5 linked regions of the Ovis aries genome follow. The protein of the gene in region 1 interacts with the protein of each later gene in a biochemical or structural test. Links are inferred from orthologs where the notes say so. Each region holds a gene or a part of one and is shown in the gene's direction. Other genes may lie near its edges.

Evidence for each region.
Region 2: the proteins of SORT1 (region 1) and SORCS1 form a complex in vitro, tested with the Homo sapiens proteins (2 studies listed by BioGRID and IntAct, with this or other methods). The link is inferred for Ovis aries from reciprocal best matches to the Homo sapiens genes SORT1 and SORCS1.
Region 3: the proteins of SORT1 (region 1) and NGF form a complex in vitro, tested with the Homo sapiens proteins (3 studies listed by BioGRID and IntAct, with this or other methods). The link is inferred for Ovis aries from reciprocal best matches to the Homo sapiens genes SORT1 and NGF.
Region 4: the proteins of SORT1 (region 1) and BDNF form a complex in vitro, tested with the Homo sapiens proteins (2 studies listed by BioGRID and IntAct, with this or other methods). The link is inferred for Ovis aries from reciprocal best matches to the Homo sapiens genes SORT1 and BDNF.
Region 5: the proteins of SORT1 (region 1) and LRPAP1 form a complex in vitro, tested with the Homo sapiens proteins (4 studies listed by BioGRID and IntAct, with this or other methods). The link is inferred for Ovis aries from reciprocal best matches to the Homo sapiens genes SORT1 and LRPAP1.

The regions. Positions count from the first base shown.
Region 1 is NC_056054.1:86,585,877-86,591,693, reverse strand, and holds part of SORT1 (sortilin), read left to right. Parts: intron 1-1,618; coding exon 1,619-1,735; intron 1,736-2,304; coding exon 2,305-2,413; intron 2,414-3,208; coding exon 3,209-3,307; intron 3,308-3,845; coding exon 3,846-3,952; intron 3,953-4,210; coding exon 4,211-4,376; 3' UTR 4,377-4,558; coding exon of another isoform or gene 4,559-4,573; 3' UTR 4,574-5,817.
Region 2 is NC_056075.1:27,058,482-27,064,298, reverse strand, and holds part of SORCS1 (VPS10 domain-containing receptor SorCS1), read left to right. Parts: intron 1-946; coding exon 947-1,049; intron 1,050-1,313; coding exon 1,314-1,390; intron 1,391-3,731; coding exon 3,732-3,823; intron 3,824-5,095; coding exon 5,096-5,203; intron 5,204-5,817.
Region 3 is NC_056054.1:92,651,963-92,656,639, reverse strand, and holds the end of NGF (beta-nerve growth factor), read left to right. Parts: intron 1-2,123; 5' UTR 2,124-2,135; coding exon 2,136-2,861; 3' UTR 2,862-3,016; downstream 3,017-4,677. UniProt on the Homo sapiens protein: Nerve growth factor is important for the development and maintenance of the sympathetic and sensory nervous systems.
Region 4 is NC_056068.1:57,195,852-57,202,381, reverse strand, and holds the start of BDNF (brain-derived neurotrophic factor), read left to right. Parts: upstream 1-2,468; 5' UTR 2,469-2,693; intron 2,694-6,530. UniProt on the Homo sapiens protein: Important signaling molecule that activates signaling cascades downstream of NTRK2. During development, promotes the survival and differentiation of selected neuronal populations of the peripheral and central nervous systems.
Region 5 is NC_056059.1:116,078,187-116,084,582, forward strand, and holds the start of LRPAP1 (alpha-2-macroglobulin receptor-associated protein), read left to right. Parts: upstream 1-2,471; 5' UTR 2,472-2,486; coding exon 2,487-2,711; intron 2,712-6,396. UniProt on the Homo sapiens protein: Molecular chaperone for LDL receptor-related proteins that may regulate their ligand binding activity along the secretory pathway.

The DNA.
Region 1 (5,817 bases):
GCCGGAAGATAGGCTGTGAGGGGAAGCCGTGGCTGTCACAGGAAAGAAATGAGGGCGTCCAGACGGGGGTGCTCAGGAAGATAGCGCCCTGGACAAATGTAAAGAAATGACAGGAGAGGCCAGCACAAAGGAGGAAACATGATACATTTTGAACATTTTTGTTTCTTTTAGGTTCTGTCAACAGATTTATGTGGCAGTGTTCAGCAAGTATTTGGAAATGTAGGATTAGAGCTCAAGAGAGGTAGAACCTGGAAGTTTTATTAATTTTTTAAAATTTTTATTTCTTTGTATTTTTGGCTGAGCTGGGTCTTAGTTGCTGTGCACAGGCTCTCCAGTTGTGGCGAGCAGGGGCTACTCTCCATTACAGTCTGCGGGCTTCTCACTGAGGTGGCTTCTGTTGTTGCAGAGCACAGGCTCAGTAGTTGTGGCTCCCATGCTTAGTGGGTCCAAGGCATGTGGACTCTTCCCAGACAGGGATCAAACCATGTCCCCTGCGTTGGCAGGTGAGTTCCTCTCCACTGCACCACCAGGGAAGTCCAAACCTGGAAGTTTAGTTGCAGCCAGTCGTTAAGCTCACGAAGGGAGAGCAGATACAGAGTAAGAGAACGAATAATAGAATCTTGGACAACGTCTGCACCTGCGTGTTAGGAAGAGAGCAGAGCCAACAGTGGCCAGAGAAACAGATGAGTGCAGCTCTCGGGTGCAGCGGGTGTGGCACAGCGGCGTGCCAGCGGGCCCAGAGTGGACAAGACAGAGAAGCCCCCAAGGCTGGGTGACTGGTGGGCCTGCGGGGGCACAGACATTCATTTTCAAGGCTGCAGCGGGGGGTTCAAGCCAAGATGCCGAGAATAAAAAGTAAATGAGTAAAACAGAACAAGTAGAAGAGAAAGTTGGCCAATAAGGGAGAGAGGGTGGTGAAGGAAGAGGACAGGTGCAGGCTAAGGAGAAGTGGCAGGGTGAGGGGACTGGCGGCCCCTCCACGCTGTCCATGCAGCAAGCCCCCACCTAGGGGCACGAGGTGCCAAGGCCCTGCATGTCCTTTCTTTGGGGAAAGCAGAGCACTATGGAGAGATGGGATGGGATGGAGGGCAGGGATGGGCGTTCACATTGGCGTCAGGCACCATCTAAGAAGCTGAGAGGGACACAGATGTGGGGAAGGCAGGAAAGGTTTGATATACACTCTCATGGGTATGACATAATGAGTTATTTGGAGATGGAAGAACTGCTAAGTGTCCATGCGTTTAGGTCTGTGGCTGACGCACTGTTTCTCTGTGTCTTAGTTGCGTGTATCCCCACCCCCTATAGACTGCACGCTTTCCCTTCCCTGAACGTGAGCTGTCTATGTGGAACCTCCTAGCTACTGAGTCCTCAGTCCACCAGGCCCAATCTATAAGCCATTCCCCCACCCCCCCTCCGCCCCCGCACCTCCTGCCAATTAAGCCCTGTCTGTGTGATTTTGTTCCTAAAGAGACCTCTTTATATGTCACAGACTTCCTTAGCTGCTTTCTGGCAACCCACGCCTGGAATATTAACCATCCTCTGCCCCACATAAAACCTTCACTGCTATTTGCCTCCTTTCAGCAACTTCGAAAGATACATTTTTTGCTGATTCTTACAGTGATTTTGGCTACTTCCGTCCAGAAAATGACTCCAAATGTGTGGAACAGCCAGAACTGAAGGGCCACGACCTCGAGTTTTGTTTGTATGGAAGAGAAGAGCACCTGACGACAAGCGGGTGAGGCGGCTTCTCCTCCCGTGTCGGGCCTGCGTTTCCCCTGTGCAGGGAGAAATTGCCCTCCACGCACTTCCGAGTACTTGAGAGAGTAGAAAATCACTGTCCGGTAGAGCCTCCTGTGATGGGGTAAATGCTCTGTGACCTGCTGTGGCCCCTAGCCCTCTGTGGCTGTTGACACTGGAGTGAGGAACTGAAGTAATTTTGATTAATTTAAAAGTAAATAGTCACCATAGCAGAGAGTGCCATTCTAGAGGAGCCTGACTGCCGACTCCCCTGATGACTCTCCCCTCCCCTGTATCTATACTGCATACTGACGGGCTTTCCCCGGCAGTCTCATAGGGCAGAAAGTCGGCATGTCATGCAGCATGGCAAGGGATGTGTGGTCTGTCCAAGGACCGAAACTACACAGCATATCCCCCCAACACCCCTGTGGATCTCCCCCAAGCCCTGAAAGACGGTGTAAGGACCAGAAGTTTTTCTGCAGCTTTTCAAATCTTGTTTTCAGGAAGTGAGCAAGAATCCAGAAGTGCATCCTTGTATTCTGTCAACACCTTTTCTCTGCCCCTCAGGTACCGGAAAATCCCAGGAGACAAATGCCAGGGTGGCGTGAATCCAGTTCGAGAAGTGAAAGACTTGAAAAAGAAATGCACAAGCAACTTTTTGAGTCCAGAAAAGCAGGTGTGTTAAAGTAGATCTAGTGTAGATACAAGTGGGGTTTCGAGTTCCGCCAGGAAGGTCAAAGTTGCAGTGTGTCGAGAACTTTATCACCTAATACAAGTGGCCAGACCACTTATGGCAGGTTTCCCGTTGCACAGGAAACTGTTAGGATGGAAGGATGGTCACTTAAGCCAACAATAAGCTCATCTACTGAAAACTTTTTTGGGGGAGGGAAAATGGTGCTCAGTATTTATCCAAGTCTTAGAAGCTTAGGGTTGAGAAAAATTCTGAGGCTCAGAGTCACTTAGAAAAAAGACTCAACAAGTCCTGCCATCAAGGGCTGGGGTTTTGCGCATGTGGAAGGGAAGGGCATGAGGCCCTAATTAGTGGGGATCTCTCTGCCGAGTCTGTCAGGTATGTTCATAAGGAAAACCTGCACCGCGGTAATAAGTGGCTGGTTTTGATTTAGAAGCAAGTTTGGGGCTGATTCCAGATCTGTAGCACTGAGCTGTCTGGCCAGGATATGGGGATCTGGTAAGAGGAACCCTCGTGATAAAGAAGCACTGGCCCAGCAGTGTGACTGGGAACAGAAGACTGTGGACCCCAGGTTCCTAATCTGGAAATCAAGAGATGGGCAGTCTGCAGTCCCTCCTGTCTAACCTTCTCAGGACTGAGGGCCTGACGGGGTGGAAGAAGGCAGGGGGAGAAGAGTGTGTGGGTGTGTGTACTTGTTGGGGGCAAGCTCCTGCTTCTCTGCATCACTGCCCTGCACTCCTGGTGGCTGTCCTCAGAGTGTTTGTGTGTGTGATTGCACAGGACTCCCGCCCACAGGGACACAGCTTGTCCCAGAATCCAGCTCCGCCTCCTCTGGGATACACTGAAAACACACACTCCCTATCTCCCACCCAGAAGCAGGTAGGTCACACTCAAACAACAATATGACAAAGCTTATTTATAACAACATACGAAAATTTAAAAGACGAATCTTGGTATCATGGGAGGGCCTGCCTGACAAAGCATTGGCACAGCTCCTCCCCAGGTGATGGCCCTATGCTAGATTCATTCACCCACTTACTGTCACGGTCTCCTTCTCTGCTTCACCCTTAAAAGCGCCAAGACTTAGAATCAGTGGTCATGGCGAACAGCCACAATTATATTTGATCTAGGTAATTACCATAGCTTCCAGTGTAACTTCGACATTAAAGCCCCGGAGTTTGCACTATTCTGACAGCTTCAAGGCAGCTCAAGTTTCAGTTACCCTCTGCCAGCTGTGGTATTCTCCTGGTAACACTGAGATGGTCATCTTGAGGGGTTTGGGAACATTTCATCATTAGGTGCCTAGAGACTGCAGATCGTTGAACAGAGAAATGAGAAATTGAGCAGCCTGTTTGAATTCAGTCCTGGAATATGCACACCCAAAATTGATTGTGTGTTTGTGTTTTAATTTATCAAGAATTCCAAGTCAAATTCTGTTCCAATTATCCTGGCCACTGTGGGATTGATGCTGGTCACAGTCATAGCAGGAGTGCTCATTGTGAAGAAATACGTCTGTGGTGGAAGGTAAGGAACCAGAATCAGTCACACCCACAAGTCAGCCAAGGGCAGAGCCTGCTGCTGGCGAAAACTGACTAGTTGAAGTGACGTTACTGAAACATCAGACTCAAATCTTTCCTTCCATTTTTCATATGCTAACTATAGGCTGTGCTTCTTGTATGTGTGACTCATTCCATGAGTGTGTAAAACTTGGAAAGTCCACAGCCCTATAAGAAATGCATTCTTCCTCACCACCTGAGGGTTGACAGCAGTTTCCACCCCCAGGTTCCTGGTGCATCGATACTCAGTGCTCCAGCAGCACGCAGAGGCTAATGGTGTGGATGGTGTGGATGCTTTGGATACGGCCTCCCACACTCACAAAAGCGGTTATCATGATGACTCAGATGAGGTGAGACTGTTTCTTCTTGAGGGGTGGTGCAGAAGTTTTTAAAAGAGCGATTCTTTTTTTACTTATGACCAAGGTATGTTTGAAGCAACAGAGGGTTTAAGCTGGAAGCAGCAACTTAATGACTAAGACTTGGCCAACCCAGAAGCTACCTAATGGCTTTCAAAATAAGGATTAGGGATTTTTTTTTGGTCTGTAAATAATATGGCCCATGTCTTTTTTTTCAGGACCTTCTGGAATAGCTCCTCTAAAGAGCTGGGACTGAGTATGAATGATGGATCCGCAGTACCTCCTACACTCCCTGTGGCTCCGACTTAGGGAAATAAATTTCCCATTGCGAAGGACCCAGCTCTGTTTCTGCTGCTTCCATCAAAGCCAAAAGGACCTACACTAAAGAAATAGTGGGGTGGGGACCTGAAACACTCTTGCCAGTTGGCTCGAAGAAGAGAGGGGAAATTTTTAATTCTTTAACTTTACGAGTTCTGTGTTTTTGCAAGGTATGGGCCCTTTTTGGTTTTGGTTTTTAAGGGAAATGAAATGGAATTGAAGGGAACTTTTCACTAACCCCACAGTCGCATGTTTTGTGTGGCGCCTACCCCAGGGCACCGGCCAGCTTTGTCATCAACTCTCATGAAGCCCTCGGTGCCATCCCTGGGCTGTGCCATCCCTGGACAGTGCCAGCACCATGAAGCAGCTGCGGAGATGAGCAGAGAGGCTGCGATGACTGGCACAGCCTGGGCAGCCTCTCTCTCTCTGGGGCCAGCCCCACTCCAAGAATAGTGCGCACCAGCTCCTCACACAGTTCACTGCTTTTTGTTGTTTCTTTCAGGAGCGGTAGGCCACAGTGATTTTTCTTTTCCCCTGTTTAATTAGGCAATACCCTTGTTAATTGCCCTTTGGCAACTAACTTACATGTGCTTCCAAGACACTAAATCAGGAAAACTTAAGGGGCAATATTTTTAACTTGGGGCAGGAAGAAGGGAACAGCAGAGAACTGACTAGATTTAGCACCTATTAAAGGAGAAATTCTTGCTTCTTCCAAGATCTTTCAAGCCATGCCTTATGTGTGTGCCAGTGGGCTTGCTCAAGGATGGGGCTCAAAGCTGGGTACCCAGGCTGAGCAGCCTCTTCACTGGAGCGGCTGGTGGCATGCACGGCACAGCCTCTGAGGACGACTCATCCGTGAAGCATTAGAGTGGCTGCTTATTCGCTTCCTCTTAGGTCGCTGCTCTACATGGAGCCGTGACTAGACATGTGTTCAGATTCAGGCTTTAAAAAAAAGTTCAGTTTTGTTACCAAGTTCTCCTCCTTACCCCTCCACTTCCCCAGCTTTCCCAAGTAGTCTGTTGGCTTGAAACTTTGAGCCAAACCAACTGAAAAACACACTTCTAGTGCAGATTGATGTTTTGTGTGATACATTAAGTTCATATCTTAAATTTAATAAAATGTTCCCTTTGACATTTTTTTTTTAATGACATAAATTAGA
Region 2 (5,817 bases), on another chromosome or scaffold:
TTTGTGTGAGATTTATTATCCTGTTTTTTTTTTTTTGAAAACTGTTGATGTCTTCATCTGAAAACTTGATCAAGTTTTGTATTCACAAACAAGTCCCTTAAATTTTCATTTAAATTGTTGTCTCTTGTGTGTTTCATCTACAAGAACTTCTATGTTGAATTACACTGAATCTGATAATATCCTTACACAGAACTATGTCAGTTATCTGGCAGATGTAAGGACAGTTCCACGTGTCATACAGCTTCTTCTACAGAACTGAGACCAAGGCTTCATATGACTAAGTGACTTCTTCAGAGCACCCCTAGCCTGGCTGCGCTTTCTGTCCAGTCTCAAACCCCATTTCTCCTCATTGGTCTTACCCAACTACCTGTTGTATTACAGCTCCACTCTTCTGCTCCTTTTCTTTGTTGCCTGAAATGTCCTTTATCCTCTGAGCATCTCATCTGCAATTCAAATCCTACCCACCTTTGCCTCAGACACCATTTTCTCCTTGAAATTTCCCCTTAACCGAAGTTAAATGTAGGCTCCTAACCCCTAGAATTTCATATTTTGTCTGTACTTATCTCATGGCTGTTAAAATATATTCCTTCATGGTAATCAATAGAAAGATCTTAAATTGTTACTCCTTAGTGGCAGAGACCAAACTTTAGTCAGTGGTAAGTCTTTCATAAAACTACACCATGTGTTTTACAGATAAAGTATTAAAATGTTTGTCGAATGGCCAAATGGCAGTTATATCAGTAGACTAGACTTGAAATGAAAATGCTCTCTCCTTCAACAGTTTGGCAGCTGTCTTATACTTAGTGGGCACCAGATATCTGTGGAATGAAAAGTGGGGGGATGGATGGGTGGGATGGTTGAATGAACGGATAGGAGCTCTGAATCTGAGCTTTAAACAACCGTTTAAATGGTGTACTTTCATGATCCTCATTTCTCCTCTTCTCAGCCCTATTGCTCCCTACATCTTCACCTTAAGGTCTCTGAGAATCCCTACACATCAGGGATCATCGCCAGCAGAGACACAGCCCCCAGCATCATAGTGGCTTCAGGTAAGCAGCTTGCCTGGTTTGCTCACTGCTATAAATTGTATTTATTTTAAGAAGCCCAGTAGCTGTGCTTGGAACTTAATGAGCAAGCTAAAAATATTTTTGAAAGGCACCTAAGCCACCGATCCTGAAGCAAGTATGCTGAAAACCCCTGCTCAGATAGTGTTTGCAGTGGAAATCCACCTCGGGCAGTGCACACTGCCAGCACAGACCATCGTTAGCTTTTGCAGAAAGTTCTCTTCACTAATGGTGATGTGCTCTCTCCAGGTAATATAGGTTCTGAGTTGTCAGACAGTGACATCAGCATGTTTGTCTCTTCAGATGCGGGAAACACTTGGAGGCAGGTAAGAAAGTATCCTGGTTAAGTTACTGGTGTTTAAATGTGTTAAAAACTGTCCAGATTGTTTCAGTTCTGGGAACTTAGTCACACATAAATCCTAAAGCTTCTCAATGTGTTTATTTCCTTTTTTGTTTTATGCATGGCTTACGGAAGTTCTGAGTTCAACAAATATTTATGAAATTTGATTTCTTTGCGTGATGAGTGAGCCTTTGCATGCATGCCTAGTCACTTTCATCATGTCTGACTCTGTGCAACTCTATAGACTGTAGTCCGCCAGGCTCCTCTGTCCATGAGATACTGTAGCCAAGAATACTAGAGTGGCTTGCCATGCCTTTCTCCAGGGGATCTTCCTGACCCAGGGATCAAACCTGGGTCTCCTGTATTGTAAGAGGATTCTTTACCGTCTGAGCCACTAGGAAAGTCCTAAAAAATTGACACTTTATCACAGCCTATATGTAAGAAAGTTTAAAAGTAACAATGAAACCAAATTAGATATGACTGAATTTTCCCCTTAAAAGAAAGCTGGAAATCTAGAGAGTTTATTATGTAGGGAACATGAAGCCTGGAAGGGAGATTATCTATCTAATGCCGGGTTACTTCTGTAAATTCCTCTTGCCTTGAAGTCAGAATAGAGGAGAATGCAGTGATTCAGAAAAAGCCATTACCCAGGTGGTGCTCTGAGATGTTTAAAGCTCATGTGCAGAAGACAGAGTAATAAGCATCAGGGCGCATATGTTAGGGAGAGTAGAAACGGAATCACTTTCAGCCAGTGTGTTTAGCTTAAATGCTTCCCCTTTCTTCTGAATGAAAATTAGATACTCCTAGCTTATAAAACAGGCGCTTAATGAGGTTTAGCAGTCCTAACAAAATAGGTGCCTAATGCTTGGTTGTTACACTTCAATAAATATGCTTTAATAAGCCACTGACATTTAATTATCATACAATAACTAGCACCATAAATTGAAATCTAATGCACAGGTAATCACATAGCAGTGAGAATACTGCGCTTTAAATTTTAGACAGAGATGCCCATGTTACGGTCTAGTTACCATCTCCTAGCTTCATAGATCTGCACTGTGATTCACATATTTTGAGAAGAGTGGGGCAGGAAAGAAACTTGCTTAAGAAATTCCAGGGGTTTTGATCTTGGAGATATATGCACTCAGTCACTCAGTCATGGCCAGTTCTTTGCAATCCCATAGACTGTAGCCCTCCAGGCTCCTCTGTCCATGGAATTTGCCAGATAAGAATGCTCAAGTGGGTTGCCATTTCCTTCTCCATGGATATATATAAGAACAGGCATTATTAAGCTTCCTATGGACAATAGTTAGAGGCCAGGGTCACATTTTTTTCCTTCTAACATCTCAAACAAAGCAAATAAGTCTCTCCTATAGTCCTGGGGTACATCTTGAATGTAAGAAGTAGACAGAGTGGCAACAATTATGTCTATAGTGTAATCACAGACAAGACTATACTAACAGAGTGACTGTGAGAAAAAAAGATGCATCTTGTATGGGGAGGTCTTAGAAATTGTCTCCAGCCAGTCTGCATTTGACCTCAGATTCCTCCCTCCACATACAGAAAGAGACTCGATGACAATGTACCCAAAGGTATGATCTCGTTTTGATCAGAATTACTCTATGACTCACTAGAGAATCCGTGAGTTGAACAGGAACATCTGTCCCCTGTAACACTTGGAAACTTTGAAGTAATTGCATGTGGAAAGGACACTGTCTTTCGCCCCGTCCTGGCATCATCCATTATCGTCTACCTGGTCCTAGGCAAGTCACCACTTCTTTCTAAACCTTCGTTTTCTCATCTGTGAAAATGAGAGTATTGGAATAGAGTGTCTCCAAGGTTTCTCTGATCTAAAGATGTGACCCAGTGTAACCGTTGCACAAATGTCAACATAATCATAAATGGAACCCAATAGAGCTCACCACAAAATGACAGAAATAGAAATATGAATACATAACTCTTCATCATTATTTAAATTTCTCTTGTGGAGCACCTAAAATCATTTTATGGAACTCCAGTGGTACATGTCACCCACCTGGGGAAGCATTGTTCATAACTGTGTCTCTCCACAGATTTGGGGAGACCCAGTTCTATCATGCCTACCAGGCTCCCCCATCCCTGGGATTCTCCAGGCAAGAATACTGGAGTCTATGGGGTTGCACAGAATCGGACACGACTGAAGCGACTTAGCAGCAGCAGCAGCAGCAGCAGTTCTATCATGGGGGCTCATGGAGAGATTATTTTTCCTCAAATGAAGACTAATTCTCTGAACCCTGGGTGTGTGTGTGGCGGGGTGGGGGGCTGTGTATGTGCTTTTCCTCTTCCAGATCTTTGAAGAAGAACACAGTGTTTTGTATCTGGATCAAGGTGGAGTCCTGGTTGCCATGAAGCACACATCTCTCCCAATTCGACATCTCTGGTAAAGGCACCTGTTGCCCCTAAATCCTGTACCCAGGCCTGGTTGCACACAGCTAAGACCAGTCTAAGTCAAGCTGACAGACGATAACTGTGCTTGGAGTAAATTATCATGGTCTCCTGGAGTATAACTTATACCTTTGCTTTATTATAAGAAGCAAGAGGAAAGGAGAGAGAGAGAGTGAGAAAGAGAAAGGAGCTTACTTCTGCCCTTTAGAGAGGAATTATATATGGTTTTGGAATGTGACAGCTCCCCTCTCCCCCATCAGTACCTCCAGCGCCGCACTCTTCCAGTACAGTCATGGGTAGGATGGTTGTCAAGGATAATCTCTGAATAGCTTAATTTCTCACAGCCACCTATCCCAAATATTGTCTCCTGAAGTTTAATGTTTGCATTCACTGTGTTCATTCTGCACAGAGATCAGCAGTGCGTGTCACTTCTGCTCTGATCCCATTTGGCCTCATTTTTGCGGGCAGGAGAGGGTGGTTTTCTGAAACTCTCCCTGTCGGTCTTCTATAGATGAACATGCAAGGCCTAACTTCCAGAGGGGTTTTCAATAGATTCCTTTATCTGTGTTTTTGAAAATGGCTCTCTCCACAGGCGGGTTCATTCAAAGTGAGAGGCTTGATTTTCCCTCCAGGGTTGGTTTCTTTGGTGGACCAAAGGGAAAGCTGCAGAAATAAGAGAACCAGAGGCTTAGCCTGAGGGAAGGCATCCCAGAGAAAGGCAGAGGAAAGGAAACAACATCCTGTATGACCATCAGAGATGCAGAGTCCTCTCTTACTTTCAAGAGCCTGTTCTGCACCCCGTCGCTCAGTGGGTCAGCCAGGATTTGTAACAATGTACGAAGGATACCACTAAGGGTTTGATCACATGGAGGTGGCTGATTCAAGTCCATCACAGTGGTCTCAGAAGGTGACTGTTCTCAGAATCACCTGCAAGCCTTGCTGCTAGATGACTGCAGGGTTTTAGAGAGGGTCACATTGAGATCTAAGACCTAATAAGATATCCAAATTAAAAAAAATTCTATCAGCGACTTACCATTCCCATTTCATACAGCTCTCCACTGATGTTATAATACATCTGGGCCCCAAATCACTTGGCTAGCTGTATATCCACCTTCTGATGTAATTAAGAACACTTATTCATATCAAAGGCTCACTTTGACAATGCCCCAGGTACTTCTAAAATATATTCTGTCCTGGTTGGTAGTATCTTTTCTTTGAAAGGATTTTCTTTTGAGAGCCTATGACTGTTATTTTTTTCTGTCATCAGGTTGAGTTTTGATGAAGGGAGATCTTGGAGCAAATACAGTTTCACATCTATTCCCCTTTTTGTGGATGGGGTTCTGGGTGAACCTGGGGAAGAGACTCTCATCATGACGTAAGTGGAAAACCGTGTTGTCTTCTGGTCTTCATAGAAATCCAGAAACGTGTGGTTTTTAGCTGAGCCTGTTCGCCTTGCTGCTTTCAGTTTTAAAGTTGCTAGCAAAGGCAGTGCATCTTACTTCATGATTCCCTAGCAAAGAAGAAAGAACAATGCAGGCATCCATTTCCTTGGCTCTTTGCTAGCTATTAGGAGACCTGTACTGTGGACTGGCAGCAACGTGGTACAGCTTATTTCTTCCTATACGGAATGAGCTTAGGGAAATTAGACGGGATTTTTTTTTTCAATAGAAGTTAAAGCTATTAATTTAAAACTTTAATTATAAACACGCTTGATATACAGACAATCACAGGCATATAAGAATGATTTCACTTTAAGACAGAACACAGAGCTTGATCACAACCCCACAAAGGATGTTATTTTTCCCTGGCTCTTTACCTAACCCAATTGTGAGGCATATTAGGGGAACCACGAGAACAGTCTGTTCTTGTGAAATTACATTTGCGCTCGTTCTTGTCTGGAAAGTGATGATCATTAATTTGTGAAAGGCTTGATTAATGGCTTGCCTGCCTGTGGGTTTCAAAACATGAGCTTTGAATTTGAAATATGAA
Region 3 (4,677 bases), about 6.1 Mb from region 1:
GAATTAAATAGCTGTATACTGCTAAGTCACTTCAGTCGTGTCCAACTCTGTGAGACCCCATAGACGGTAGCCCACCAGGCTCCCCCATCCCTGGGGTTCTCCAGGCAAGAATACTGGAGTGGGTTGCCATTTCCTTCTCCAGGGCATGAAAGTGAAAAGTAAAAGTGAAGTCGCTCAGCTGTGTCTGACTCTTAGCAACCCCATGGATTGTAGCCCACCAGGCTCCTCCATCCATGGGATTTTCCAGGCAAGAGTACTGGAGTGGGGTGCCATTGCCTTCTCCAAATAGGTGTATAAGCACCTATTTAATCCTAACAACAGCCCTGTGAAATAGAGTTTGTGGTGGTTTAGTTGCTAAGTCGTGTCCAACTCTTTGCAACCCCATGGGCTGTAGCCCATCAGGCTCCTCTGTCCATGGAATTTTTTCAGGCAAGAATACTGGAGTGGGTTGCCGTTTCCTTCTCCTGGGGTTATCTTCTTGACCCAGAGATCAAACCCATGGACCCATGCCTCCTGCACTGCAGGTGGATTCTTTCCAGCTGAGCCACCAGAAAAGCCCTGAAATAATGTTTATTGCCTGCTTTTTATCATTGAGGAAATCAGAGCTCAGAAACATTAAGTAGGTTTCTGCTAACAAGTAACAGGACTAACACTAGGTCCAGTGCAGAGTTCTTCTCATTACACTGATTTAGTAGAAAAGAACAAATACACACTTCTGAAGTTGAGAATGGGGAGAGATGGCTATTGGTTGGGTGATCTGAGAAGGTCTCAAGGAAGAGATGGTACCCATGCCAGGCTGGAAGAGTGGGCAGAGAGCAGAATGACCTGGGGGAGAGATATGGGGAGGGAGTGCATTGGAAGTTTAACACCCTGTCTAGGGGGTGCCTCTAACCCTACCAGGAAGATCTGGGGAAGCTTCCCAGAGGAGGTAACATCTGATACACATCTGCAAGTGTGTGTAGGAGCTCATCAAAAGTGAGCTCAAGAATGGAGCTAGTTTCACAGCAGGTTGCCCTGGGGGTGGTCGCTGGTAGGCAAGTCAGTACAGTTAGGTTCAGAGTCCCATCTGGCAGGAGCTCAAAAGGAGCCTGTACTGCTAGTGGGGACAGATGATTTACACTATTTGGTCTATTCTCACTTAAGATTAAATAATTTTTGAAAAGACACACTTAAAAATGAAAGAGAAAGTGGAGGAGGAAGGAAGGGTGGAAGGGTAGACTGGCTTAGTAAGGGGTCAGGTTTAGATTCTATTTCTGGTTCAGTTTTTGTAACTGTCGGCCTGTTACTTCATTTCTGTGGATCACTTTCCTCGCATATGAAAGGGAGATGATAAATCCTAACCTAAGTCACAAGCTAACAAGAAACTTGAAGTGAATGCATTTGAAAAGCTGAAAAACATCACTCATGAAAAGAGAAAACATTATCAATATTACAGGCATGCACCGGTGGCTGAATAGCTAGACTGGCTCAGACGTCCCAGAGCTATATACTTTTTTTTTTTTTTTTTTTTGCCAGACATGGATTGGCATGTTTGGATTTTCAATCATCAAATCTCAGAGCTGACCTGGTGCTCCTACCTGCAGAGGGTGGGTTCAAGGCTGAGGCTTCAAGATAAATCCCCAGCAGCCCTTCCCACTGCCTTCCCAGGGAATTCAAACCATTGGGCAGGCCACAGCGCTGGGAGAGGTGTCAGACTCACCTTCCCCAAGCCATTCTGCTGCACACACACCACCTGCCCGTGGTGAGACTGCCTCACTGGCGGGTGGAGAACTCGAGCGACTCTTTAAGCAGTACCACCCAGTTCATACCACAGCACTGGGCAGAATTTCTGGGACTCTGTCCGTTCTTTCCAGGAAAAGCTCACCCCTTCTAGATGAGGTGCCCAGACACCAGGTTGTCTGAGCCAGCCCTGTTTAAGCCTGTCACCCTAGCGTTACAGTCATAGCATCGCCTTTCACTCTCAAAAGGGTCCCAGTTTGAAATTCCAGGGTCACCTTGCCCTTAGCCACCAGGGGAAGCCTCCTTGTCATCCTCTGGGAAGGTCAACTCCGAAGTACCCAGAAACCACCCTCATCCAACGCTCAGCGCCCCGCGGAATAATCCTCATTTCTGTTTCATTCCAGGTGCATAGCGTAATGTCCATGTTGTTCTACACTCTGATCACAGCTCTTTTGATCGGCATACAGGCAGCACCGCACACCGAGAGCAATGTCCCAGCTGGACACGCCATCCCTCAAGCCCACTGGATTAAACTTCAGCATTCCCTTGACACAGTCCTCCGCAGAGCCCACAGCGCCCAGGCTGGGCCGATAGCCGCCAGGGTGGCAGGGCAGACCCACAACATCACTGTGGACCCCAAACTTTTTAAAAAGCGGCGACTGCGTTCACCTCGCGTGCTGTTCAGCACCCAGCCCCCACCTGTGGCCGCAGACACTCAGGATCTGGACTTCGAGGCGGGCGGGGCCGCCTCCTTCAACAGGACTCACAGGAGCAAGCGGTCGTCATCCCACCCCGTCTTTCACCGGGGGGAGTTCTCGGTGTGCGACAGCGTCAGCGTGTGGGTGGGGGACAAGACAACCGCCACGGACATCAAGGGCAAGGAGGTGATGGTGCTGGGAGAGGTGAACATCAACAACAGTGTATTCAAACAGTACTTTTTTGAGACCAAGTGCCGGGACCCCAACCCCGTGGACAGCGGGTGCCGAGGCATCGACGCGAAGCACTGGAACTCGTATTGTACCACGACCCACACCTTCGTCAAGGCGCTGACCATGGACGGCAAGCAGGCCGCCTGGCGGTTCATCCGGATCGACACGGCCTGCGTGTGTGTGCTCAGCAGGAAGACTGGGCGGAGAGCCTGACCTGCAGCAGCCCCCACCCTTCCTTGCTCCCCTCTACACTCTCCTGCGCCCCTCCCTACCTCAACCTGTAAATTATTTTAAATTATAAGGACTGCATGGTAATTTATAGTTTATACAGTTTTAAAAAATCATTATTTATTAAATTTTTGGAAGCAGCTTGTGTGCTGGCCCTCCAGTCATTCTGCCCAGGGTGACAGTTGCAAGTCTTGGTTCGGAGGCTGCAGGGAGGAGGGTCCACAGTACCCCCTGGCTTTTTCTCAGTGTGTGTGCGCTCATTCGTGTTTCCCTCTGTGTGACCCCATGGACTGTAGCCCACCAGGCTCCTCTGTCCATGGGATTTCCCAGGCAAGAATACTGCAGTAAGTTACTATGCCCTCCTCGAGGGGATCTTCCCGATCCAGAGGTTGAAACACCATCTCATGTATCTCCTCCATTGCAGGCAGAGCTTTATCACTGAGCCACCTGGGGTATCTTACTCTTTCTCTCAGACACACCTGTAACCCTCACCGACCCGTCACTCCCAGCCAGCCGTGCCACTTCAGGGAAAGCTAACTGGGTTCAGATATTAGCCTAAGCCGGGCATGATTAGGAAGGGACGTCTGTTGGATTGCAACTTTGTTCTGCATTCCAGAGCCAAAGATACCTAATCCTTGGATTACCTGCCCCACAGCCCAGATTCTTGAGCCTTGATTGCTTCATTTGGGGAAATTCATGGAGCCTCATTAGAAGGCAGATCCCTGCCGGGCATAGAGCTACCTCCCACCTCAGAAGGGCCCAGGCTGGGTCCTGGAAGGGCTCACTAGATGGATAGGAGGAGACTTGCACCAAAGACTGAGGCAGGCTCTTTTTGTGAGAGGATGATCTGCTTTTTTTTTTTTTTTTTTTTTTGCTGAAAAGCTCTCTCAAAGAGTTGTAACAAAATAATCTCAGGAGGCCTGTCAAGGTAGATCTGATTACATGTTAAGATTGCCTTAGTTCTAATGACTGGCCCTCAATTTATTCCCCGGTAGCTTCCTGCAGAAAGACTCCATTCCCCCCAGAAAACATGACGACCTCTAACACTCCTGCCACCTATTCACGGCCCCACAGCAACTTCCAGTGGCCCCAGCATCAGTCCAGAGTCACAGGAGCCAGAGACCAGACCAAAAAGAACCTTTTTTTTTTTTTTTAAAGAACTTTTAAATTCCTACCGGGGTGACTTCCACAAGTGACCAAAGGTGGATGGGGTCATGGGACCTGCAGAGAAGATGACAAAAATGAGTGAGAACCAATACAAACAGCCGGATAAGGGGCGGAGGAGGGGTGAGGACTCTGCTCCTCCCTCACAGAGAACACTAGACAAGAGAAAGACAGGGGGTCAGGGGGTCTGATGATGGGATCACAGCAGAGGAGGAAGGTATGTCATCTTTACCAGCATCAGGATCCCTGGGCCTCTAAGAAATCCAACACCCTGGGTAGTTGCCTGGGTTGTTTTGGGTTTTTGGATTGTGTGTGTGTTTAGGCTGGGGGAGTGCTCATCCATACTGGCTGTATCAGGAGAGTCTTAGAGATAGTTGGAGGTGACAGGGACTCCAGGTACAGCGTGGAGCAGGGCTCTGTCCATCCTCAAGGTGCCACTTTCCCCTGCAACGTTTCTGTCTGTTTGGTGTTTTGTTTTCTCCCCAAAGGCGCAGAATTTTTTCACTTGGAGCACTTACATAGGGATGAAAATTTTGCTTTCCTACCCTTCCTCTTCCCCCCAGGGTAAAAGGCCGATCTAGTTTCTTGTAACAGGCCGAAACTGTCCCTCTGATTAAAAAAGAAAAAAGGAAATGGT
Region 4 (6,530 bases), on another chromosome or scaffold:
GTTATACAGCTCTTTGCCTGAGATTTCGCAAGCTCTCCGCAGGTCTCCAGCAGAGAGCCGCGCCCCCTCCCACCTCTTCCTTCTTTGCCTTTATTTTACACATGGGGTTGGGGTGGGGCGGGGGTCGAGGGAGGTGCGGGTGAGAGGGTGGGGAGGTGGTTTGTTTTCTTTTGCTTTTTTCTCTTCTCCTTGAAGTTCATTCTATCCCTTCTAAGTTACTTTCCGCCAACACGTGACCTCTCCAGCGGGAAGCGCGGGTGCTAACCGCGGGGCTTCCTGGGAGAGCCCCCTCTCGCGGAGCTCAATCCCATCTCCGGCTTCTCAAGCGCCGCTCCGCTTCCCCGTCGCTCTCACCCGGGCACCCTGATGGCCCGGGAGCCCCCGGATGATGCGGAAGCGACTCCGGGGAAGAAGCACCGAGCGGACGCGGAGCGTCAAACCGCTGCGGATGCACCCCTCCCTGCCTTTGCCCGCGGCTCCACACTTCGCGGTGCGCCATGCCGACCTAGCTGCGCACCCGCGCTGTTAACTCACATTGGAGAAGCCATAACCATTACAGCAAACGCAGTCAGAACTTCATTCAACTCGGCCGCTCGAGAGCTCGATTTACACAGGTTCCTGTGGGCAACTAGTGGCTCGCTCGGGTGCCTCTCGCCTAGTCATCAGTCCCTAAGAGGGAAAGGGAAAGTTGCCGGGCTCCTGCGCGCTTCCGCGCATGTGGTTGTTCCCAAGGACAAGTCACTCACCCACACCCCCTCCCCGCTTAGCCCCCATCGCCCCCGCCCCTCCGACTTGATCGTCACTCACGACCTCATCAGCTGGAGACCCTTAGTCATTGGGGGAAGGGGGAGGGGTACGAACTTTTCTAAGAAGTTTCCTTTTTACCAAAGGAGTCACAGTAAGTTGGTCACGTAAACAGCACGGATAGTCGTCGTCGATGCCGCCCCCCGCTTTCGCCCCCCTCCCCCTGCGTTTTTCTGGAATTATTAAAGCGGTAGCCTTCTGGCGCTGATAAGCAACAAGTTCCCCAGCGGTCTTCCCGCCCTAGCCTGTCTAGGCGAAGGTTTTCTTACCTGGCGACAGGAAAATCTCCCGAGTCGAGCTCAGCTTTGCCAGAGCCCCAGGTGTGACCTGAGCAGTGGGCAAGGGAGCAGTGTGCAGGCTGGGTTATTTACATGAGGGTACCCTGAAACTCCCCACTTTCCCCGGGAACTTTCTGTGCCAGGACCCAGTGACCGGCGGTTGGAAGGCAGCCTTGGGAACCACCGCTATATAGCAGGGCACTTGGACAGTCATTGGTAACCTCGCTCATTCATTAGAATCACGTAAGAACTCGAAAGGAAACGTGTCTCTCGGAGTGAGGGCGTTTGCGTAAATCTATAGGTTTTCCAACATCGATGCGAGTTGCTTTGTCTTCTGTAGTCGCCAAGGTGGTTGAGAGTTTAAGCTTGCGGATATTGCAAAGGGTTATTAGATTCATAAGTCACACCAAGTGGTGGGCGATCCACTGAGCAAAGCCGAACTTCTCACATGATGACTTCAAACAAGACACATTACCTTCCAGCATCTGTTGGGGAGACGGGATTTTAAGACACTTGAGTCTCCAGGACAGCAGAGGCACAATGGTGAGTAGCAATAAACCCTGCATTATAATTGAAAAATCTTGACATGTTGCTTAACAACGGGCATATCACAGCTCTTCCTAGCACTTCACACGCCAAAGAACAGCAGCTACTCAGGCCAGGAGAATCGGGTTTTTACATAGTGCAACTTTAATTGGAATCATTTGAGATTTAACACAGCAATGTGGAACTGCGTGGAACAAACTTGGAGTTGGAGGGAGGGTGTGTGTGTTATATTGGCTGTTCAAGGCTGATGCTTCTCTCCCAGCCTTCTTGCATTCGGTTCTTTGCTTCTATGTGTGTGATATATGAGCATATTCTATGATTTATATGTGGGCATGTAACTGACATTCGCAAGAAGATTAATTTCCATCTTAAAACAATAATGCTCTTAGAGTTTGGGGTCGGGGGTGGAGTGGGGGTAAGGATAGGATAAAGACTGGGAGTTTGGGTGCAGATGGGGGTGGGGTTGGTGGGAGAGAAATAAGTCAGAAGGGCATATTGCCGATAATGAAATGGGTAAGCCTCTCATAGGAGAAAAGGGTCTCATCAACATGTGATCAACTATTAACAGGATGGCTTTGGCAAAGCCATCCGCACGTGACAAAACGTAAGGAAGTGGAAGAAACCGTCTAGAGCAATATCAAATATCACTTAATTACAGATTTTTTAGTCTTTTCCTCCCGCCGCGCCGGGTGTGTAATCCTGGAGATACGAGCCCATTCAGCACCTTGGACAGAGCCGACGGATTTGTCTTAGGTGGTTGTACCCCAGGTAGCTGTCTCGGCCCCGCAGTAAGCCAGCCCTGTGTCGCCCTTAAGAAGCGTCTTTTCGGAGGTTCGGCTCACACTGAGATCGGGGCTGGAGAGAGAGTCAGATTTTGGAGCGGAGCGTTTGGAAAGCGAGCCCCAGTTTGGTCCCCTCATTGAGCTCGCTGAAGTTGGCTTCCTAGCGGTGTAGGCTGGAATAGACTCTTGGCAAGCTCCGGGTTGGTATACTGGGTTAACTTTGGGAAATGCAAGTGTTTATCTCCAGGATCTAGCCACCGGGGTGGTGTAAGCCGCAAAGAAGGTAAGCACCGGGGCGGGGACCCCTGCAACCCCAATTTTTGAGCTATTTTGATACTCGATCTTCCCGAGAGGACGCGCGGTGGTGGGGAGGAAGTAGACGGAGAGTGTGAGAGGGGGGTTGTTTCTTGGTATTTGCCCAGTTTGAATTGCCCTAGGTGAGAGCCTTGGGGTAAAGCGAGAAGGGGGGTGGGGAAGCTCAGTTTTCCTGCGGATATAATGAGTTTAGTTAACTTGGACCTGCAAATGTCTGATTCAAATGTAAGATTTCTCTTTTTCTCCCCTTCATCTCCTTCTTTTCCGTTCTCTGCTGGTGTGTGTGTGTGTGTGTGTGTGTGTGTGTGTGTGTGTACAGTAGGTTCATTACTAATTATGAAGCTTTTACCCAACATTCGATTTCCTAAATTTTGACTTTGTACCATTTAGAATTAGGCGGTGGAGGTGGTGTGCGGTGAGGAAAGGGGCGGTGGAGGTTGGGAGAGGGTAGGAGGTAACGCTAAATCTCCAACACAAAATACATCAAGGTAATTTCAGCTCTTCTAGGCAGAAGGATTCATTCTCTCTGTATCCCTCCCTCTCTCTCCCCCTCCCTCCTTCCCGCCCCCCCTCTTCCACCCCGCCCCCTCCTCCTGCCTCCGTCCCTTCCTTTTTCTCTCTTTCCCACCGTCGCCCTCGCGCCTGGCTGGATGTTTCTGTTTTTGTTTTTTGTTTTTTTTTTTCACCCCCCTCTTGCCTTCTTTCCTCCCTCCCGACGAGTTTCGGGTGCTGGCTTAGAGGGCTCCCGCTTTCTCAAGGGAAGGGGAGCCTCCGAGACCGCGCTCCGCTCCCCCGCCGGACTGGATGCCTCTCTGAGCCCAGGTCCGAGTCAGTAGGGGTAACTAAGGAAAAGGGGGCCTCTACTTGGGAGGAGATGTCCTTTACGGGCCGAAGAGCCAGGGAGCGGGCCGGGAAATGGGGTCTGGGCGGCTGGAGGAGGAGGAGAACACGAGTAGCTCCGCGCGGCGGCTGGACCCAGCCACCAATCAGCTGGGTGCACAGACCGCCCAGCCACCGCGAGGTTGCACCCGGAGGCGCGTGTGGAGGGCGGCCCGCTCGCCGCCGCCCGGGTGGGCCAGGGGGCGGGGGTGGTCAAAGCTGCTCAGAGCCTCCCAGTCCTCCGTTCCACCTCCCCTCCTCGGTCCCGGGGGGACAGAGAGCGGCCGGAGAGCGCGACAGCGTTGTCTTGCCTCCCCTCTGGGAGTCCAGGGACTTGCGCGCCCCTGCGCAGGGGCTACCAGCCTCTCCACACTCCTACAACCCTCAACCTACCCACTTCCCGGCCCCTTTGTTCCGGCCTCCGAGCCAAGCCGGGTGGTAATTTTCACCCCAGGGCTTGTGCGTTCTGGACTCCTCCTTCCTGGATCAGCCCTCTTTAATTAAGAGACAAGGCTTGAGGTGGGGGTGGGGGAGCGTAGGGGAAAACCTATTTCCGAAACTCACTGGACTGTTTTAGCGAACGAAAAAGAAAGAATTCCAACTCTGCTCAGGTGAAAAGAATGGATTCATAGGCAACGCGAGGATATTGTGGCGATTTAGAAGGGGGAAAAAAAAAAACAACCAGGCACTAGGATCAGATGACGGTGATAGGCTGCTACGCACACAAAGGGAGCGTTGGGCAGGGTTTACGGAGCAAGCCTGCAGCGAATGGGGCACAGATTGTTCCGAGATCCAGTCATTTTCTCAGTCAGATCTACGCGCAGGGAGGGGAGGGGAGGGACTGGGAGGGGAACGGGGCGGGAGGGGCTGGGCTTGGGGGCGGGGGGATTTCTGATCAGTCTGATGCAATTCCAAGCGTGCTGCAAAGGAACTCCAAGGAGTCCGCATCACCGTCGCCGCCCACCCTTCCCAGATGGTGCTGTTTTAAATACGGATCTGCAGGGCTGAACGCAGAACTGGGAGATTTATTGCAAAATCCCGAGAAGGGGGGGAAACGGGGAATGGAGGGGCAGAATTTAAAGGTGCAACACTTGCTTTTCCCCAAATCAAGCGGCAACCGGTCGGCATTTTTTTTTTTCCTCGTCTGCCTGTCTCTGGATTCTAATTCACCAAGAAAGAGGTGTAAATATTGTGACATTTTGAGGCGGTTTGATGGATGAGAAAAAAATCATCTGTCACTCTAAATTGCAGAGTTCCTGTCTCCTCGAAATGCTTTGCTAGCGAATACTCGCTGCTGCCTAATACAGTTGCTAGGGCTTCAAATGAATGCACCGTTAAGGGAATATTATCCTTTTAGTCGACTTGCCAATTTATCTGACAGTCAAATGGAGAAAATTGTAGATTTCGAGTCTTCGAGAGACAAAGAGGGAAAATGCTTACCTAATTCTTGTAACCTCGAGATCTTTCATAACTTAAACCTCAAAAGTGTCACGTCATCCTCTTTCACACGCGCTCACATACATATCCTTGACTTGTAGGTGAAATGGTTTCGCCTGGTGTTGTGAAAATGAGTATCACTTTAAGAATAGTGCACCTGATCCTCACTGTTTATGTATATTTACATGGAGCTCTTCAGTAGGAAGGCAAGAAATTTCAACTGTCCTGTTTGAAACTAGAGAGAACATTAGAAGGTGTTAAAGAGGAGAGGGGAAGAAAGAGGAAGGGGGTATTTTTGACCTTAAAAAAAAAAAAGAACAGTAAACTAGCCTACTTTTGTGCCCCCTGGTCTTGCATGTTAATATTTCTGTGTGTGAGACTTTAGCTTGGTCTAGCTCCCCCAATGGAATATATCAGTATTGATTCAGATGAAAATATATTCATTTTGCCTGTAGCTTTTTCAGTGTCATTGATAGTAAGACCTACAACACAGCAATTTTTGGAGGATAGAAGAGAATGTCTGAAAGAGCTTTGCAAACTGGGAAGAAGACACTCCATAAGGGGGAGGTATCACTATGTCATTCTGTGCCTACAGCATTTCCATTTCAACCAGAGTGCTAGTTATTTTTAAATATCATCTAATGTATATGGTAAGGCAGTAAATGGGATTTTAAAAGCAAGTTCTTGTTGGCTTACAAAATATTGTTTGTAAAATTGCCTATCTGTAAATTGGAAAGAATACCTTTAAAATATCTAAAATCAAAATTCACATGCTGCTTCGTTCATTTGCCAGACTCTTTCCCTCTCGAATCTGTAATCTGTATTCTTAATAAGAGGAGAAGCTAGTGAAATTTAGTTTCTTTCCTTTTCCTGGCCTGTCCTCTAGGGGAAGCTTAGTAAGAAACAACATTCCAGTATCAGGCAATGTGAGAGGCAAAGGCCTGGATGACCACAAAATAGATAATAAGCCACAAAAAAACAACAAATAGAAACAAGGAAAAAATCATCACTGTGGCATGACTTACAAAGGATTTTTATTTCTAATTCTGTGATTTAGGGACGAGGCTCCAACTTGCTCAAATAACATTCATTTAATCAAACTGCTTACAATATGTCAGTTAAAATGATGTCTAACTGAACATAGTTTTTATTAAATATACTTCTATCAAAAGCCAGGAAAGCTAATCCTTTTCTTTAATTAGGAAAAGCTAATCTAACCATTTAACTGATTCTAGTGAATATGAGCTGATATAATCTGATTTTAAGATTCTGCTTAAAACTAAATTTGTTCTAAAAAGCACTGACTTGCCAGAAAAATATCTATTTTTGTAGCTCTCTTTTCACTCTATGGATAATTTAATGAGTTGCCTATTTTAATTTTACAACTGCTACCTCAGAAGTATCTCAAATTATCTTTCTTTGGCTGGTGTCTTTCTCTGCTGATCTGCTACTGCTGTGTGTATGTGTGTGTGTGCACTTGTGTGTATGG
Region 5 (6,396 bases), on another chromosome or scaffold:
CTCTTAGTGGGTATCGAGCCAAACCCAATCAAATCAAAAAGTGGGAGAATGATTTATTATCTGCCGCGAGTAAGGAGAACTTCGGGGGTACTTCCCAATGCAGTGTATCCCAGGACAGCAAAATGGGGGAAGTTTCAAGCTGCGGGAGCACACACGCTCGTGAAAGGGCTTGTGCAAAGAGGAATGGAGCATAGCACTGGGGCAGCGTCATCCCAGGCTGACAGAGGCCAGGGTCTTGGCTGACTGAAGCCAGCAAAGATCAACATCGTCAGTGGTCTGGCGGCCAGTTAGTCTGGGGGCCAGTTGTCCAAGGGGGTTTGGACCCTGTTCGACAGCTCAGAGAGTATGCGTCAGACTATTCTTTATCTCGGAAACAGAACTGGCAGTCTCTGTGACTGATGTGAGGCTTCCCTGGAGGCTCAGCAGTACAGAATCTGCCTGATATGTTGAAGACTGCCTGCTATGCTGGAGGTCAGGATTCATTCCCTAGGTTAGGAAGGTCCTCTGGAGAAGGAAGTGGCAACCCACTCCAGTATTCTTTGCCTGGGAAATCCCATGAACAGAGGAGCCTGGCGCGCTACAGCCCATGGGGTCGCAGAGTCAGACACAACGTACAGACTAAACTGCCAGGACTGACGCATTATCTCCAGTTAAATTGTTAAATTACTTCCCTGGCCTGGTAATAGCTGTTTGCTCTCACGTGCTTTTGTTTCCTTAAAGTCATTCACTCCCGAGGCCTGCTCTTCCTCACAGGCCAGCGCTGTGGCCAGGCTGAGATGGCAACATGGCCTAGGCCTACAGTGGCTTCTCTCATGTCAAGAAAGCTACGCTTGGCTCTCTTCCCTGGGGCACTGCCTCTCAGGCCCGGTCCACCATCCTCACCAGACGTGGCTTGCGCGGCTCCGCCTCGAAGCACCAAAGCACCCCCATGGGTGCCTCTACCTGACCCCAGAAGCTGCTCGAGGCCGCCGTCTGGTTCCCACTGTTTGCCTGCCCCCAGTCTCCCCGCTGGGAGAGCGGCCCTAGCACGTTGGCTGTATTCAGGTTTGTTTACTAGAATACGGCAAGTGGGGAGAGAGAACAGGTACACAGACATCTCTAATAACAGAACCAGTGCGGGGGGGAGAAGGGGGTGCAATTTAAAGTTGGCGTTGAGGTGCAGGCACTCGCTAGAGGGCAGGGGGAAGCTTTGGGGAGGCGGGAACACCTGTGGCTCCCTGGGAAGGAGTGGGCTTGGGAGGGGGTATCTAGGCTTCCTGACAGAGACATGTACGGTGGGGTGCCAGCCAAGGCCAATTTCCAGAGTTCCTAACGACAGTGAAGGCTCAACACCGAGGCAGGGGACACAGAAACAAGCTAAGGTGTCAGCCAGACACAGTCTCCAGTTTTGAACTGTTTCCTCTTCCCGTGCAGCTGAGGGAAAAACGCCCTTGTGGGGGTCAATCCAGGATGGGAGATCAGATCTCTGACCCACCTATAGCCCCCGGCAGTCTCCCGTCCCAGCTAGGGCCGCCCTAGCTGCACTGATGCTGAAGCTGAAACTTCAGTGCCTTGTCCACCTGATGTGAAGAACTGACTCATTTGAAAAGACCCTGATGTTGGGAAACAGTGGAAACAATGGAAACAGTGAGAGACTTTATTTTCTTCAGCTCCAAAATCACTGCAGATGGTCAATGCAGCCATGAAATTAAAAGATGCTCGCTCCTTGGAAGAAAAGCTATGACCAACCTAGACAGCATATTAAAAGCAGAGACATTACTTTGCCAACAAAGGTCCGTCTAGTCAAAGCTATGGCTTTTCCAGTGGTCATGTATGGATGAGACAGGTGGACTATGAAGAAGGCTGAGTGCTAAAGAACTGATGCTTTTGAACTGTGCTGTTGGAGAAGACTCTTGAGAGTCCCTTGGACTGCAAGGAGATCCAACCAGTACATCCTGAAGGAAATCAGTCCTGAATATTCACTGGAAGGGCTGATGCTGACGTTGAAGCTCCAATACTTTGGCCACCTGATGCAAAGAGCTGACTCACTGGAAAAGATCCTGATGCTGGGGAAGATTGAAGGCGGGAGGAGAAGGGGACAAAAGAGGATGAGTTGGTTGGATGGCATCACTGACTCAATGGACATGAGTTTTCGTAAGCTCCGGGAGTTGGTGATGGACAGGGAGGCCTGGCGTGCTGCAGTCCGTGGGTTGGCAAAGAGTCGGACAGGACTAAGCGACTGAACTGAGCCACACTCAGCCCCAGAGGCGCCCGGAGACTCCAGGCCGTGGTCGGGTTGCCTAGGAAACGCCCCCGCGCCGTGCCTCCGCAGGGCGCCCCGGGCCTTGTAGTCCGCTCGCTGCCTCCTTTTGGGCCGGCCGCCCGGGGAGGGACTACAACTCCCACGAGGCAGCGCGGCGGGGCCCGGTGGGCGGGGCGAGCCCGGTGGGCGGGGCGCGACCTTTTCGTTCCCGCAGCTCCCGGGGCTCCGCGTCTAGAGGCGGAAGATGGCGTCGCGGAGGGTCTTGTCTGGGCTGCGCGCGGTCCGGCAGCCGCCGCCGCCGCCGCCGCCGCCGCTGCTGCTGCTGCTGCTCCTCGCGCCGTGGGCTGTTGCAGGCCATGCCGGGAAGTACTCGCGGGAGAAGAACGAGCCCGCGCCGCCCTCGAAGCGCGAGCCCGCGGCGGAGTTCCGCATGGAGAAGCTGAACCAGCTGTGGGAGAAGGCCCAGCGGGTAAGCGGCGGCCAGCTCCCTCCACCTCGGGGCTCCGCGGGCCGGGGCGTCCTCTGATCGTGGGGCCCGCGGAGCGCAGGCCCGGGTCTCCAGTCTCGAGGGTCCGCGGGGCGCAGGCCCGGGTCTCTTCTCTCTCGGGGGTCGGCAGGGCGTCCTCTGATCCTGGGGTCCGCAGAGCCCGGGCCGGGGTCTCTTCCGTCTCTGGGGTCTGCTGGCCGGGGCCTCGAGCCTTTGACAGCCTCAGACTCGCCCGCACATACAGGTGAGAGTTCCTCTTACTACGTTGCCTGTACTCTTCATCAGGGAACAGGGACCCTGGCCTGGTGATAACAGGTGAAGACAGGAGGCCTTGGCCTGGGCAGAGGGGCTGCCCCGTCAGTTTGAGGCCGAGATTCCCTCCCAGCGGGCAGGCCCAGGTCTCCTGCCTTGCAGGTTTTTGCCTTTTCTACATTGTTTCCCTATATGGAGAAACAAGGAAACGGGTGATGCTGGTCATGAGGACAAGTCAGGGATACAGAAACCCTGGAAGCAGACAGGTTCTTGATAAATTGGGTGAGAGGATGTGGTGAGAAGGGAACGGCTACCCACTCCGGTATTCTGGCCTGGAGAATTTGCAAGGAGTGGGACACGACTGAGCGACTCACTTTCACATGTGGTGGGAGGATAACACCTGAAACTTAAGACTCAAGTGAACTGAACGGGACCTTCCTCGAAGCCCAGAGGGCAAAGGACGCCCCTAAGGTCACTCCGCCTGGAGGCAGCTTGCCAGCAGCTTCCTCGTTAACATAACAGTCCCTGCTGTTTCGGGCGGGGTGTTTCTAGAGAAATGGGTATTTACAAGTTCCCCAGCCTCTGGGCCTCCTGTCTTCATCTCTCAAATGGAGTCTCGTCAGCTCCAGTCTTCCAGTTTTAAGCATTCCTGAGTCCTTGAAAGAGAGCCAAGTGAGGACTAAGTTTTGGAAAAGAAAAGAAACTGAGGGGGAAGAAAGGTGGGGGAGGAATGGGACAGAGCGGCCTGCGGGGCGGTCAGGGCCCAGTAGATACCCCAGGCCCCTAGCTCCCAGGCCCCGCACTGCTCCTAGGCCTCTAGCTTCCAGGCCCCTAGCTCCCAGGCCCCTAGCTCCCAGGCCCCGCACTGCTCCTAGGCCAGTGCCCTTGAGGGTTCCGCTCGGGGTCCCTAGCTGTCAGGACCACTGTGTGCGCAGCCTGCCTGGTGAGAGAGCACTCTGGGTTGGAGAGGCCGGAGGGCTTCCTGGAAGAAGGGGCGCTTGGGCCCGCGAACCTGCCCGGAGCCCTCCTGCCCGCAGGGCGGTGCTGGTCAGCCCCGTCTTGTCTGTCCAGACGCCGCTTTGCATCTGCCAGCCTCCTCACGCCTCCTGGCCGTCGCCCGCCCTCCAGCTGCGCCTCAGTGACCCTCCCCGCCCCCGTGTGCAGTCCACTGCTGACCTGGTCCGTCTCAGGTCACAGCTGTCTGAGAGGGCCTCCTCTGTTCTCTGGAAACCCCAGCACTGCGGGCCGGCCTTGGCCTAGACGTCTTTCCTGGGCCTCTCGGCCCTGAAACTCTCGAACTGCGTGTACGGGTGTTTTCTGCTGAACGAAGCACACAGGTCTTCAGGGTGGGGCTCATGCCCGGTGGCATCATGTTTTGGCTCCCTGAGCAGACCTGTGGAATACAAGCTGGCCTGTCCCAGCCTTCCTAGCCGGAGAAGCTTCCAGAAGCTCCTCGGGTGGTGGCAGGAGCCCGCAAGTGGGCCCGTGTCCCAGGGTCAGCACTCCCCGCCCAGAGCCGAGCCCAGACAGGAGGCAGGGCCAGCACGAGGCACTTTTGATTCTTAGCCTTTTGGTTTTGTTCTTGGGATAATTTGGTCTCTGAAAACATCAAGACTTTGGCCACCTGACGCGAAGGACTGACTCCTTAGAAAAGACCCTGATGCTGGGAAAGACTGAAGGCGGGAGAAGGGGACGATAGAGGATGAGACAGTTGGATGGCATCACCGACTCTATGGACATGAGTTTGAGTCAACTCCGGAAGTTGGTGATGGACAGGGAGGCCTGGCGTGCTGCAGTCCATGGGGTCGTAAAGAGTCGGACACGACTAAGCGACTGAACTGACTGAAAACATCACGTTTCTTTTCTTCTAAACGTGAGGTGTGTCTTGCGTGGCGTGTGCTCAGGGTGGGAGAAGGCGTCCACTGTCGCCAGTCCTTCTGTGGGCCAGGGTGTGGCTCCTACCTCGGTCCAGGGTCGGCGTGCAGGGCTGTGGCTGGAGCTGACTGTGCGTGGACACTGGGTCCCAGGAGTGGTTTTTTTTTTTTTTTTGGTTGGTTGTTGGTTTTGGCTTTTTGTTGTTTTGTTTTACCATTTTTGAGGTATGATTGACCTCTGAAAAGTTCTGTTGTTAATTAGTTTGGAGATAAGTGTACAGGCCCACAAACACACCCACCACCTCCCAAATATTCTCCTGAGCTGTTTGTTTGTTATTATTTGCGGTAAGAACCTAAGATCGACACCCACCCACCCCCCGCACCCCCACCCACCCCCCGCTTAGCAAATTTTTAAATGGGATTCCCAGGTGGCTCAGTGGTGAAGAGTCGCCTGCCTTGCAGGAGACCCAGGTTCAATCCCTGGGTTGGGAAGATCCCTGGAGAAGGGCATGGCGACCCAGTCCAGAATTCTTGCCTGGAGAATCCCATGGACAGAGGAGCCTGGAGGGCTGCAGTCCACGGGTCGCAAGGAGTCGTACACGACTGAGCGACTGAACAGCAGATGGGCACAGTCTGGTTGCCAGGGGCACGCTGAGCAGCGAGTCTCTGGGCTCGCTGGAGCCGCGCGGCTGACTCTGCGCCCTTTGACCAGCCCTTCACTCGCTCTCGTCTGCCTCTTGTCCACTCTCCGCCCCTCGTGTTAAGCACTGTTGTGGAGAAGTGTTTGCAGATACGTCTGGCTTATCTCCCCAGCGCCTGTGTCTTCACGGAGGGCCAGTTCCCCTTCTGTTTTGAGGCTCGTAGTCCGCTGTGGGTCTGTCCCGAATTTTCCTTACCTCGATGGACATCTTGGTTGAGTTGTTCCCGTGACTTGGCGTTGTGACTGGTGCTGCAAGAAGCTTGGGAGCACAGGTCTTTCTTGGAGATTCTGGCTTCAGGCCCTGGGTCAGTGCCCGGCGGGGGTTGCTGGGTCGTACCGCACCTCTGTCTCCGTTTCTGAGGCGCCTCCTCGCTGTTTGCCTCGGCAGCTGTGCCCGTTTGCATCCCACCAGTCGCCCGCGGGGCTCCCTTTGTTACCCCCCAGCAGGGGCTGCTTTCCATTCTCCAGAGTAACCGACCTGTAACCGCTGCGAGGCGGTCTCTCTCGTGGGGTTTCCATTCCTCCCGATGATCTGCGATCTGGAGGGTCTGTTCATGTCCCTCTTGGCCATTCCTGTGTGGTGTTTGGAGAAATTTATATTCAAGTCCTTTGCCTGTTTAAGAATTAGGTTATTCTATTCAACAAGGAGTGGAAGCTCCAGGCAGAACAGCTGGGCAAGAAAAAGAAAAAAAAAAAAGAAAGCATCCAGATCAGAAAGGAAGAGGTGAAAGGCTCTGTTTGCAGATGATGTGATTTTCATTTGTAGAAAACCTGAGCGCTGCCCAGTCACTAGATCTGCTCAGCAGCCTCGCCACGGTTACAGGGCACAGAAGCGACACAC